Linked DNA regions of Lepisosteus oculatus. The protein of the gene in region 2 purifies or fractionates together with the protein of the main gene of each other region. This does not show direct contact. Links are inferred from orthologs where the notes say so. Each region holds a gene or a part of one and is shown on either strand. Other genes may lie near its edges.

Region 1 (6,942 bases), on a different chromosome or scaffold from region 2:
TTACTGGCCCATCAAAAGGAGATCCTGTCTCCGGCAGCGCTGGCTTGGGCGAGACAAAATGAGGTGTCCAAGCTGTGGATGTCATGCACTTTGTTAAAAAAGCATTTAATTGTGGGGTATTTTATATTTTGTTGTTTGTTCTGTACAAGTCTGTTGGATGGTACAAGCTGAGATTGTAGTGGTACATGTGTGTGTGTTTCAGTTAAACACAGTTTTTTGTTCATAAGGAAACTGCAGATTTATTTATTAAATTTGGAGCAGATGGGATTCTAAAATAGGTCCTTCTAATATCTGGAAAAGATCACTTTTTAACCCACAAATGATCAACCCTGTGCACATAATAGACAATACACAAGGATAACATACTACAATGGGGCTGTAGATGTTTCAAAGGGATATATTCCACACCATATCACAACATTAAATGTCTGATTTATCTATTTATGAACTGTATTTATTTTAATAAGCCTTACAATATTACAATTATGATGTGAGATGGCAAGACCAATCATTTAACATAGAGTTGTTCCCTGGGGGGAGAAAGACGATTAAATTATTAAAATCAACATGCCTGTACATTTGATTGTCTTGAGACTGCAGGGCAGCAAAACTATAATCCTGAGAAGCAAGCAAAATAATATATAGTGTTCATAAGGGGACAATGGTTGCTATTCTAAAAGGATACAATAAAGTCTTCCTGTTGCTTTCATTTTTTTCTCATAATCCATTTTCTTAAACAGTAGTTTACCTTGTAAGAAAATTACTTAAAGCACTCATAAATAAAATTATACCGCTACTAAAGTCAGGAAAAATCACTCTCCAGCAAAACAGTTTAACTGTAGACAGCAAATGGCTGATATATAGGAAGTGATATGCTGAAAGAATGAAACATTATTATTATTAGCTATTATATATTTGTGTCCAAATAATTTCCCAAATCAAGAAACCTTGCTGGAATACACACAAAGATGTGTTACAAGTATGCCCCTTGAAACGCAAGCTTGTGAGATATAAGAACAGACGCTTGCCAGAGGAAGTGACACAAACACACAAACCGTTGGAGCCCAGAATGAGCACTGGTAACTCTGTTGGCCAGAGCCAGCAGAGTGTTGGGATAGGTGGAGCAAAAGCCTTGGAAAGAGGAACCATCCATTTAAAGAGAAGCTAATTGATCATCCATTCAAGCCAATCCTGGAGGCACAAAGCAAAATGAAGAGAGGTATTCAGACCCAGCGTGTGTCGTAAATGCGATGAAAAACATGGAGGACCGCCAAGGCAAACCAAGAGACTGCAACGGACACGGCCTGACCTGGACCTACTGCTCCGACCAGCTGAGCTCCTCAGAGGGATCTCTGAATCCCTGGGCAGGACTCAGGTCAACTGCTTCACAAGCCTTTAACGTCACGCCATCGGGTAGAACAGGAGTGTAACAGTAACTTTGAGAGACAACACGGGTGCTTCTAAGCCCAACTGCCTTTAGGAAAACCGTCATTTTTAGTGGTAGTCCTCAGGCACGGCCAGTCCAGGAATTTTCAGGGTGGCGTGGGCTGGGCAGCTGGGTGATCACACCGCGAAAAGTGTGAGTGAACTGCTACAGTACAGTATGTGTGGCTGATGTGTCGAGATCTTGCACATCGCTACCATCCTGGATAACAGGTGGCCCTGCCGACAGGCGAGAAAGACCGTGTAAGAACGGGCCAACTGGACAGTCATCACCGGCCGCGAGGGCTGCGATCCGTGTGGGGGAGGCAGGCGAGCACAGAACACCAGAAAGACATGCAGCCGAGCTCATTCCGAAACATGGGCAGCCGCCGAAAAGCAGACTAAATCTGTGGCACAAGCATGGTACAAACGCAGTAAAACAGCGGAAAAAAACGCCACCCACATTTACAGGATGACCAGCAGTCGGGAGGTTGGTTCCCAAAGAAACAGGGGTTATTTTCAACGTTTGGGGACCTAAGACTCTTCCCTGGTCATACTGTATATTCCTAATAATGAAGATAGACACTTAATAAAAACGCTGCCAGTAAAAACAAAATGTGGCACGTTGCTAAAGTGAAAGAGGTATCAGGTCAAAAACGTGTTTACCCTGCTGTCCAAACACAATTTTTTTAGAAAACGAGGCCTTGCCTTGCATGTACAGTATTACTCACTGCCGACAGCAGTGCCGTTTTTACCTTTTACTAATTATAACCTTAACATGACCCCCCGAGACAAAAGGCAGAGTAAATTAACACTGCGTGGAAGAGAAGTAACGCGGAGTGGTGCCGTGCCTTTGTGGCCGTGTTTCTCCCTTCGCCTGCTGTAGGACCAATAAAGTTGACAAAATCGGAGGAGGATGGTTTCTCTGCTTCCATGAGAATACCATCCCAGATAGGGCTTGGGAACAGTGGTGTCGTAGGCTGAGTATAATTCGGAATGTATGTTTATATGAACAGTTTACAGTATATTTGCAGCATATATATGTGCACTATTCATATATATATGAATATGCAAGCAAGCAAAAATATCCCATTGAATAAATTAAAAGTTCTCCGTTTGAGAGCCCTTACATTTATGAAGGGCCACCTCTGACAAATTATCCCATCATATGCTCCGGTTTTGCCCATTTAACGCACACTGATGTTACACGTGTAATCAACAACAAATCATTAAGGCTCTTCCGTATCTCTTGATCAGCTAGAAGAGGGTGATTTATCACTGGTATTAGGAAACTGGAGTCGGGCAATGGTCTGTGTGCGCGTTTGTTTGGTTTTTTTGGGAGTATGGGTAAATACTGATGAAAGGGGGAGATGTACTGTAATCTAATGGGCACTGCAGCTTTTAAAGGGATCCCTATGACTTTAACAATGAGGATGTGCCAGGCTACAACACGGAGAAAGAATACTAGTTTCAAGCTCATCGGGGGCTAGAATCACTTCACATTCATTTCGACAAAACGTTGTGCGCTTACGTATCGATGTGTTGTTTCATTTAACGACGGGACTGAGGCATATGAGCAATTAAACGTGTTTCACTGACCGTGGTTTTAACTGGAACGTAGAGCACTTGTTTCTCCCCTCCGCTGATCTCATCTGGAACACCAAGCTGAAAGCCCTTGGACTTTACCCAAAATTTAAACTTTGCATTGTCTGTGGAGCTGGACTCGGATCCGTTCAGAAGCTGTACAATCCGGTCGTATTTTTTACGGGTCACCGTCTTCGTCTTCCCGGAATCACCATATGTCCTGAGGCACCAGTCCTGAAACTGGCGATACATGTCCCGATCTCCCTCCATTATCCTGAGCAGGGTACAGAAATGGTCCTCGCCGTTGTCCCTTTTCGCCTTCCTTATCCTCCGACTTTGCACCTGTTCGCCTGTTGTCGGTTATACGAACAAATAAATAAATATATATCCCTCAGTCAAGCCGATGGCGCCTTGAAATGCGGGTCGGAGTTTCTAGATTTACCTTGGCGGCTGGGCTGATGTCGAGGTCCCGCATCCAATCTCCCCCCCCCCACCCACCCCTGTTAATTTTCAATTCATCGAGATCTCCCAGGGCAAGACAATCGGATCCCGGTTGCTTATAGTCTGTCTCTCTTCCATACGTGACCAGTTTCAGTATTCCGCACGCAGGACAACGCCACTTTTTTTTCGGGATATAATGTGCCCCCCCCCCCCCGGGAAATTCCAATATATTCCACCTTCCCGGTCTCTGTGGTATTTCACACACCGGACTCTACCTGGCATCGACCGGATTCAACAGACGGAGAGAAATTAGTTCTCGGTTGTCTCTTTTTCTCTCTGCCCCCTCTCCCTCCCGCAACCCAGCGCTGTTTTGTCCAGGTCTGTGCCTCTCCCCAGTAACCGTGGAAAAAAAAAAAGAGAAAGAAATACGAGCCAGGTCAGGACTCTGCGTTTTAAAACGGACTGGTTGGCGATGCTTGTTGGCCTGGAACCAAAACAAATACTCAATTTAATTAATAATTATAATAGCAGTTGCTCGGGCCTTTCATAGTATCCTGTACTCCTTTGACCAGAAGCGGAGTTGGAGCTGATGGATGTTTGGCTCTTGAATGAATGGAGCTCTTTATACATACAGAGAATATTTGACTCCCCAATCTGGAATACAAAACTAGATCTGTTCATTTATTGAGTAGGGGGAGAAAAAAACCCCACCAACAACAACACACACACAAAAAAAAAACCCCATGTCACAACCAGATGTAAACGCAAATCCTGTATCGATCTGTCCGCTGTTTCGTGAAGCTTTCGGACGTGGACGTCTGCCCCCCGACTCCAGCGTCTTTATCCTCCCAAGCACACGACGGGGGCTGTGTTTCTCGCCTGCACCGCTCCGGAACCCGAAAAGTCTTCCTATCCCGCTGTCGGCTCCGTCCGTCTCCTGGACGCGTCTGTCTGTGTGTGTGTGTAGCGCCGGGGTCCACACGGATGTCACCCTGTTCGGCCAGCCCTCCCCAACCCACCCCTGCCCATAAATTGGAGCCCCGTCCTTTGTGAGGAACGATCTACCTGGCGGGGTCCCAAAGCAGGTCAGTGCCACCGCTCCTATCCTCCGGCTCGGGAATCTGTTATCCTCATTTGAAGAAGTGAAAATACGAACGGTCAGCGGGTTTTTGTTTCTTTGCACCGTCTACCAGGACCCCTCCACTATATATATTTTGAAATGTGCGAGTACGGTGTCTCTTTCAGCGGCACTAAATTACGTGAAATGCTCGACGGCCGGACCAGCGAAATATCCCATGCCTCTTTCCCGCAGTCCTCAAAATTCCTCTCTGGAATTGAAATTATATAACTGGAGAAAGTGATGGAGCATTTTTATTGGATTTTTTGGGCTTCCTGGCTTGATCCCTTGAGGCGGCTCCCCATCCCCTTGTGCGGCAGCTACCACGGCAGGATTGTAGGCTCCCCTCCCCGTCTCCGTCTCCGGATTGTGCAGGAGGTCTGGCGGCGGCTCCAGCCGGGACTGACAGCACGGGCTGAGCGAGCGCTCGGCGCAGAACCTCTCTCCTCGAGTTCTCAGCCATCTGATTGGCTGCCGGGACAAAAGTTTCTGTGGAGACGGCCGAGTTGTGACGTCACAGAAAGAATTGTCCCATTTAGGGATCCAGGGCAGTGCGCATGCTTCTCCTGGCAGGTTGGTTCGTGGGATCCCTCGTGCGAGGCAGGCAGGCAGGCAGGCAGGCAGCACTGCGCTGGCAAGACAGCGAGGTGGCAGAAAGGAGCGAAAATGCAGGTGAATTATTCCAGCCTGGTTGCTATGGCGATTAATCTGCATGGCGCGGGAAGCCAGCTACATCGTACTGCTGGCCCGGGTCACGAGAAATGCGGGTTAAATGGCCAGTTGATCTAAAATGTACACGATGATCAGTAGGGACCGCCGGTCCAGGGTCTTTATAAAACAGAGAGTAGCTAATATTATCCAAATAAGCACAAAGGTGGATAGATCACTTTTAATCTGCCGATTTGGGACCGTGCTTTGGGAAATGTGCTGGGTTTACAGTTTTAAATAGTGCAGAGCTGGAAGGCGAAAGGCGATGGTTCACTGAGAAATTAATTTGCCAAAGGCTGTCTTTAAATGCAGTTTTAGTGGATGGAGGAGGAGCATATCGGCGAATTTGGAGTCAGAAAACCGCCTGTAATGTTGTCACCCTCAATGATGTATTATTTGGTTTTAAAACGTGAGGAAAATGTACAGTAAGTGTTGGTGATGTCTCACCGATGGGCGGGTGGCGCAGTGTTTATCTCTGTGGCTCTGGGTTCAGTGCCGGACTTTGGAAAACTGTCCGCGTGGAGTTTGTGTGTTCGGTGGGTTTCCTCCCACTCTCCAAAGACACGTGGGGAGGTGTTAGGGAGCGTCTGCCTTCAAATGGACTGACATCCCATCCTGGATGTATCCTGCCTTCCTTGCTGGGACGGGGTCCAGCTCCCCAGCGGACCCCGGATGGGCAGAAGCAGTGAGAAAACGGCTGGGTGGTGATGTTTTACAATCCATCTGCTGAGGCTGAATGGCATCCATCATCTCTCGTCAGTCTGCCGAATGGAAATGGAGTAAGTCACGAATGTGTGTTAGATCAGCTCATACAAGGTAACCTTCACCCAAAATAACTTTGTCATAACACCGGAAGTTTCTCCCGTTTAACCCTCTATCATTTAATACCAGCTTCATTCATCGCTAGACATTTCCCCCATCGCTTGTGATAAGGCTCTGGGTGTACATTCGTCATATAATATATAATAAGCCACAGACTACATTTGAGGCTGTCCTACAGCTGGGACAAGAGCATATTCCCTTGCAACATGGGGAAGCACTGCTGTGTGTCCTGATCCTGCGTTGTGAATCACAAAGGTCTTGGGGATATTGATTAAGTTGAATTAAGATTAAATTCGTGTCAGGAATTTTGTCTGTATCACAGGGCCCTACAGTACATACCGTGAGGCTGACACTGGCGTTAATATCTATCACCCCAAGACAAAGTACACTGTTCCCTTCCATTTTTACATCAGATATCTTCACTTTATTTTTTGCTTTTGGTAGAGCTACTGATTGGCTGTGTTTTAACTGTCTGCAGACAGTATCCTTCCATGGTACGGCCCTGATTGAATTGAATGAAATGCTTTGGGGATTAATGCTTTGGGGTGCTCTGTGCCAAACGTCCTGCTCAAGACGATCGGTGAAAGTGTGCACACTTTACAGACGGCTGTGGTCAGAGTCTTGCCCTTGTCCGACCCTGGGGGTAGGTGCCCGGCGCTTCTCTTTTGCTTTTCTCCCGTGCCACGCTCTGCCCTCACTTTGTGTAGAGTGTAAAAATCACCTTTCCTCTCCCTCTGTGGACTACTGGTCTGTTTTATCCCAATACCACCTCTCCCTCGTGCGGCAACACAAAGCTTAGGCATTCCCAAGATCCCTCTGCACAGCAATAGTTTGAAACTGCTACAGTA
Region 2 (7,007 bases):
TCAGGGTTTTCATCACTTGTTCCCACTTTGGCCATGTCCTTCAAGCCTCCTCCTTGTCAAAGTTTGTAATCCTGTTGTTTTTTTTAAAGGATCAAATCAACTCCGGAGTCTTGTTGCAAAAAAACAAAACTTCACATACTCTTCATGAAACACCTGGAGAAATTAAAGAGAGACTGATTAATGCACAGAAGGACGTGACCCTAATTTATCATTAACATGTACTGTGGCACAAAAAAAGACACCCCAAGGCAAACAGATTCTCATTTCTCAAAACCACGTTGTCCACACACAAGCCCTTCAAAAAAGCTCTCAGGATTCCTTTTCATCAAGAGTTTTTGGCATGTTTTGTTTTTTAACTGTAGGAGTAATAAGATATAAATGTTACTGCTCTTTGTGCTCTGCAAGAGCTTTATTGTTGGTCTGCTTCCCTATGAATCCTGAATCTGGCAATTCCCGAAATGTTAGGAAGTGATCCAGGGAGGGAACTTATTTAACTTATCCCCCAGTGGTGGGGGACTAAGTTTTTTTTTTTTAAAAGCTATTGTTCTTTGTTTCACAGAGGTATCTGAAAGTATGCCAATGAAAGAATCAAGACTGTATAAACACTGCTGTCATTGAAAACAGCCTGACACACAAGGCCATTCCTAATATGACTCAATACACACTCGATACAATATCACCTGTTTAGACCTTCCAGTTCTACATAATGAAAAACCGAAAACTTTATAAAAGCGTTTTTTGACGCTTGTGATGACAAAACACAAGCTATTGTCCCCTATGCGGCCTGTCTAGACAAGACCACCGGCCGACTCCTGGGACAGACCAAAGGCATTTGAAAAACTGCTTTCTGGAAGGAATCCAGTAATGTACTCTGCACAGTAATTAAGTCATTTTCTGATTTGTTTGGGGGGTTGGTGGAAAGCTCCCATTTAATTTTGTCACATAAAACAATTCATACTTATTGTTTGGCTAGATTTACCATTCAAGACTATGCCATTAGTGAAACCAGGCAGAGATCACCCCCAGCTATAATAATGTAGTGTGGGCTCTTCAGTTAAATGCTTCACCAGTGCCTAGTGACCTTGAGCAAACACAAAACACTCTACCAGTACCTCTTTTACTTATGGTAATGAAGGCACATCTATGCTCACACATTTGAAAGCACAATAAGCTTAGAATACCTAAAGACCTCAGCCTTGTAATGAGGCAGTGTGCGATGAACCCCAAAAAATATTTTTAAACACTTAACAATACTTTATTTTTAATTTTCAATACAAATAGTATAAATACACAAATAACCAGACTTTCAAATAATGGAAGACAAAGCATAAAAAAAGTATTAGAAGTCTACTGGGAAAACACAAATGATATGAAAAACAACTAAAAAAGAAATTAACACCTCATAGCTGTTCATGAAAGCACCCTCACCTAACTGTGCGGACATTCTATGTTTAAATTTATAATTAATGTAAAAGAACTAAATTTAATTATGAATGCACTTAAACCTATCTTTAAAAATACACAATATTTTCATTCGTTTTTAGTGGCAATAATCGTAGTCCATAAAACCAATGTCTCACGAGTTATATCGAAACGTCAACAATCTGTTGCAGGAAACAAATTTCCACTCATTTGATAATACGTTGCCGACAAAACGGCGAGCTAAACAAAATAAACTCGGTTCCATAACGTATGGGACACTACTGTGTATCTGGATGTAGAAGTCACATTGTTACAGAGACCGCACTTTCACTAGGCAAGCCGAGCGCCCACGTCGTCAACATTCTTACTCTGGGAGGGGCTGGCAGTGCTCTCAGATCCTTGTCGAGCCCATTCAAGCTCGCCGGTGACTGGCATCGCAGGAAAGGCTTTTCCGTGCATGGCCAGAGGAATGGAGCGAGGTTACACAAATGTCAACACGGCTCAAGCTCGACGTCAAATCGTACCTCTCAACCATTTTTAATCGCAGTTCCCTAAAAAACGCCCAATACAAAACAAGGTAGTCTGAGCAGGCGGAGAAGTCAATCGTCACCGCAGGTTATTAAGGGGCTTTGACTCAAGTTTTAACTTTGAGCTCAGCACAGGCGAAACTCAAGAGCTTTTGTGTTAATCATAAAAACAGGAATTAAGGTACTACTTTACAACAGCAAGCCCCACTAAACACATTATTCATTATTCGGAATACATAACGCTAACAGCAGGTAGTTCCTGCGATGATCCTAATACAAAAGCGCACTGCTGTCACTCTTCGAACGTTTGGTGATTTTTTGCACAAAACTGTTATGAACAAATATGTCTCCACAATAAACCAAATTGTCAACTTTCAACCCCAGTGAAAAATACATATAAAAGTGTTTCTCACTGTTGGCGGGCTCTATTTAATATTATAAAGGACTACGACTCTTACGTTCGTTATTTCTAATCTTAAGGTTTCCGTTGGTCCGCCTTTAGATTTCTTAACTAAGCTACCCTTACTTAAAAACGATCGGTACTAGGAATGCAACAAAATGCAACAAGGAAAATATACACATCTCCTTAAATGACTTCTAAATTTTACTGACCTTAGCCTGATGGAAAACTAGAGGTAACTTAGAAATACTTGAAATAAATTTAACTGAAAAGTACAGAGTAAAGCAAGTTTTGTTTAGAACAAGACCTTTACCTTAAGACATTTCCAAAGAGCAGCTACGCAAAACAGAGGATGATACTAGCCAAGTTCTCCACATACATAACCATGCACAATGCAAATATCCGTCCCTGGTTTCCACAACAGCAATAATTTTGTAAAAAAAAAATACTTGAAAGTGCATTTAAGGGTGCTTTGCAAAAAGTCGTTTCGTCTGACGTTTGAATTCCAGATACTTTCACACTTTTTTAATAAACAGAAAAATACTACCGCTTGCTTTCTGCGAGTTGGCCACAAACTTTGTTCCAGTTGCTCCTTTCCCCTGCCTCGCGCTGCAGTTACAGCTCAGCTTCTGGAATATGGCGCAGCCAGTATCACGTGACTGCGCCTTCAGTCGCTCAGCTGGTCCCCGGACTCCGGACACGGACTTAAGGAGAGCTCACCAGACTCACCAGTAACGTTTGAGGAGGCTGGGCTCGCTTTTCATCCTCCTCAGTGAACTTGATGGGGATCAAACAGTACTCCCCTTTCTCGTTACCAACGCCACGTCAGTCGCTGATAATATATTATCACTTAAGAGTTCACAATTGTTTGCTTTTTGTACTTAGAACCGGTATTTTCGTTAGTGTTTACTTAAGTTGTAGCAGAAAATGACGAAAAGTTACCAATAAAAGTGTTTTAAGTTAGCTGGTTTTAGTTGTGACAGTTCGGGTTTTGCCCCTTGTTGACAAAACCTTTGTACAGAAGGCTAGAAATTCTGGAGTTTTTGTCTTTGTTATTATTGTAAATTGCGTTTTGAATTGTACTTCGTGAATGACCTACTTTTCAGCTGTGTATATACAATATATAACTTCGCCTAATATTAAGTAAAGTTCTTTGACATATCTCACTCTATACAATGGTGCTCTATCTTAAAACTATATTTTCAATTAGAAATATATCTGGCAGTAGTACAGACAGATAATACATTACTGTCTGTATTTAAAATTTAATAGTACAAAACACTCATCAGTAAACTAAATAACAATGATATGTTCATTAGCTGAAACATTATTGGGGAAAGTTTTTTCTTGAGTAACCCTAACTGAATCTGGGTTAGTCAAAATATATTTGGTTTTTTTGGTGGTTTTCATTTTTAATTCTTATGACATCCACTTTACTCATATCGTTTTCTTTATAACTGGTGTTACAAATCAAAATACAATTTTAGTTGCTAACACCTTCAATATAATTTCTCACCCTCTGACAACACCATTCAGTAGCATGGCACTGTCCTGCTTGAGGATCATGTAATCTTATCATTGTTCCCTAAAGGACTAACATTTGGTGAAGAAGTAAATCACTTAAATTACTGTCACAACTCTGACAAATTTTAGCTGTAAACAAAGAATCTCTGAAGTGTTGGAAATCAGTCAGAAGAAACATCCCCTCATTTGGTTTTCCAAATAGTTCTGGTGATGGTATTTCAGAATAATCTTTGGGTGGTTTGTTATTCCATCCAACTTCAAGCTGCTTTGTCCAATTCACAGTCACAATAGAACTTATCCCGACAACCAAGGGGTGCAAACACAGACATGCACACACTCACTCCAGGGCCACATTTCCAGGGCCAATTAACCTACCAGTATGTTCGTGGACTGTATGAGGAAACCGATGCAAACATGAGGAGAACATACAAACTCCAAGCAGACAGTGCCCGAGGTCTGTAATTGAACCCAGGACCCCAGCACTGCAAGGCAGTAATGCTACTGGTTAGTTTTTGTTTCCCCCAGAAAGCAATATCAGAAACAAGACAACCCTCCTCTATCAAAAACAGAATTCCTTTCCTCTGAGGAAAATAATGTCATTCACTCTTAATATTATACCTATTGTAAATGGTGGATTGCATCCACTCAGAAAAATTCCATTAATTATATGTTGTTTGTGGACAGAAAACCAGTTACATTAATTGGACCAAGAATGGGTCAAGGAGCACTGGTCCAGGGGTCCCAGTCATTCACTAAGCTGGGTATTGAAAGGACAGGTGTTGGAGGAGGTTTATCTCTGAAAAAAGATGGGAGTGTCTTCACTGAAACATGTTTCCACACTTCTGGTGAATGTTCAGACATCCTTGCATGGTGTTGTCAGATGTCTCTCTTCCCTGAAACTCACACTGGGAGACAAAATACATACTGGGCCAGCATTGCATCTCTGTGTATTCAGAATTTTTCATGAAACTATATCTTCATTTTAGCTTGTTTAGCTATTTAGCACTTTTATGTTATTATTTAAAATGCTGTATTTTGTCATTTATTTGCTTTTTTACTGATGATAATATAAAAAGAAAGTAAACTGTAAATGTTCCCAAACATTGCCCAACATGCATCAAGTGATGCATGATGCATGTTCTGAAAGTGAAGAACCATTCTGTGAATCCTTAATGTACTGAATCCCAGTTTCCTCTGGAAGAAGCTTGCTGTATTCTGCAATGACAGACTTAAAGAAGAAATTGTATAACTGAAGTGTGGTCAAAATGCCATTTTTGGAAAGAAAACAACCTTCAAATCAATGTTACATGAAAATGCTGTGGTATTACTATACCCCTTAATTTACTGAAAAAAGAAGCACTTGGCTATACACATATATTTGAGAAGAATTTAAGAAATTACATTGTGTTTATTTTTTTGCAAATCATTGGTGACACTTAATAACAGACTTAATAAATCATTATGAAATTTTAATATTTTACAATTCAGTTTATGATGTAAGTACATGTAAAATAAAAAACCTTTTAAAAACATCAGATGAAAGCCTTATATTTCAAACTGTTCTTTCATCTGAAAGGAAGCAGCAGCTGCCAAAACTCACAGAAGCTGCAGTTTAAAATATGCTACACTTTAAAACTAGAAAACTGTTAACAGTTGAATAAATAAGAAACAGAAAATGTGCTAAGCTCTCTAGTGCAAAGAGTTCTCTATATCTTTTAAGAGTAAAAGGAATAATTTGGCGTAGGTAAAGAGTAAACTGCTTTTTAAATTATATTGTTTTGGCATTACTGTATACTGTTTTGTGCTTTGCTTTAAAAACTTATTTTCATCATAAGGTATCCAGTGAGTGAAGTGAAGGCATCCTTTATTTAAAAATATCCTGTTTTTTAAAAAAGAAGTGGAACATAATAATAATAATAATAATAATAATAATAATAATAATAATAATAATAATAACAATTCAAGGCTTGTACTGCAAGCTGCCTGAGTGACCACTCTACCAGATCACAACCCCAGGTAGAGTACAGAATATTAACATAAATGCCTTAATGCTTCAGTTTATAGTTTATAAAAGTGCATAGTTTATATAATAAAAAACAAATAAAGCAATGTCAAGAGAGAAACATCATACAGAGCTGATTCATTTCAGACACTGGAAATGTAGATCTTTCCGTAAAAGGGCTTGGACGTTTTCCTCAAGCTCTCAGCTGACATTCTTCTTTGTATGTGGTTTTTCATATGGTACAAAGAGCAGGTTTTATTTTCACAAATTAGCGCTCCACTATACACTCCACCAGGTGTAGGGTGACAGCTCAGGTAAACGGAGAAGGGAACATTTGTCAAAAGATTGGAATGCCTGTCTGCATCCTAGCTGCCCTACAAACATCACGGCCAGGCGACTGCTGAACACATGCTGTGCTCTTTTAAACTTTCACAACAATATCTATTGGAGAGGCACTGAGTATTCAGATTGAATCCTTCTTTTCACCGGCTATGAAAGCAACGTAAGGCAGATACTTTGAAGTAAAGAGAACATAAAGATAAACGTTTGACATGTGTTAAGAAAATGTCACAGTGCCAGGAGGGAAAAAGTCATTTTAATCTATACATTCAAAGCACAATAACCTCATTGTAAGGTTCAAGCAATGTGGAATGTTTAGGCCCATGTCCTGAGTCTTCTGATTTCCCCTACAATTTAAAGGGGAATTCCACCAGAAGCCAACATAATCATCAAGTGTAGGGCATTACACTTTCTAATAAAAATATTATAAAGTTAATATCCAATACTGTAAGAAAGTGTTGCATAGATCTCAATTATTATCAGCATTGCTATAGTTTGAATTTATAATTTGAATAGTTTGAAGCTTTTCCACATTGAGCAACTTCAGTTACATTTGAGCGGAACTTTACTGAAGAAATTAGTCTTTCCTTATGATTTTGAATTTCTCATACAACTGATATGTTAAGATCGAATTAAATGTATGAAGCATGAATTAAAAGACCTTCTGGTGTTTTAGTAAATCAAGCTTGTCTACTGGTATAGCAGTTAGAATGATTACATATATTTTGAGTTCATTTTGATATGGATTAAAACAGATTAATTTACATCCAAAGGGTTTCATTGGGCAGATGTT

Evidence for each region. The genes of interacting proteins can lie anywhere in the genome.
Region 1: the proteins of utrn (region 2) and dtna purify together in Homo sapiens (affinity purification with mass spectrometry; 3 studies listed by BioGRID and IntAct, with this or other methods). This does not show direct contact. The link is inferred for Lepisosteus oculatus from reciprocal best matches to the Homo sapiens genes UTRN and DTNA.

The regions. Positions count from the first base shown.
Region 1 is NC_090701.1:46,696,222-46,703,163, forward strand, and holds the start of dtna (dystrobrevin alpha), read left to right. Parts: upstream 1-3,930; 5' UTR 3,931-5,236; intron 5,237-6,942. Other genes in the region: nucleolar protein 4, read right to left, coding at 3,022-3,276. UniProt on the Homo sapiens protein: May be involved in the formation and stability of synapses as well as being involved in the clustering of nicotinic acetylcholine receptors.
Region 2 is NC_090697.1:51,303,692-51,310,698, reverse strand, and holds the start of utrn (utrophin), read right to left. Parts: upstream 3,001-7,007; 5' UTR 2,897-3,000; intron 2,874-2,896; exon of another isoform or gene 2,663-2,873; intron 154-2,662; 5' UTR 36-153; coding exon 1-35.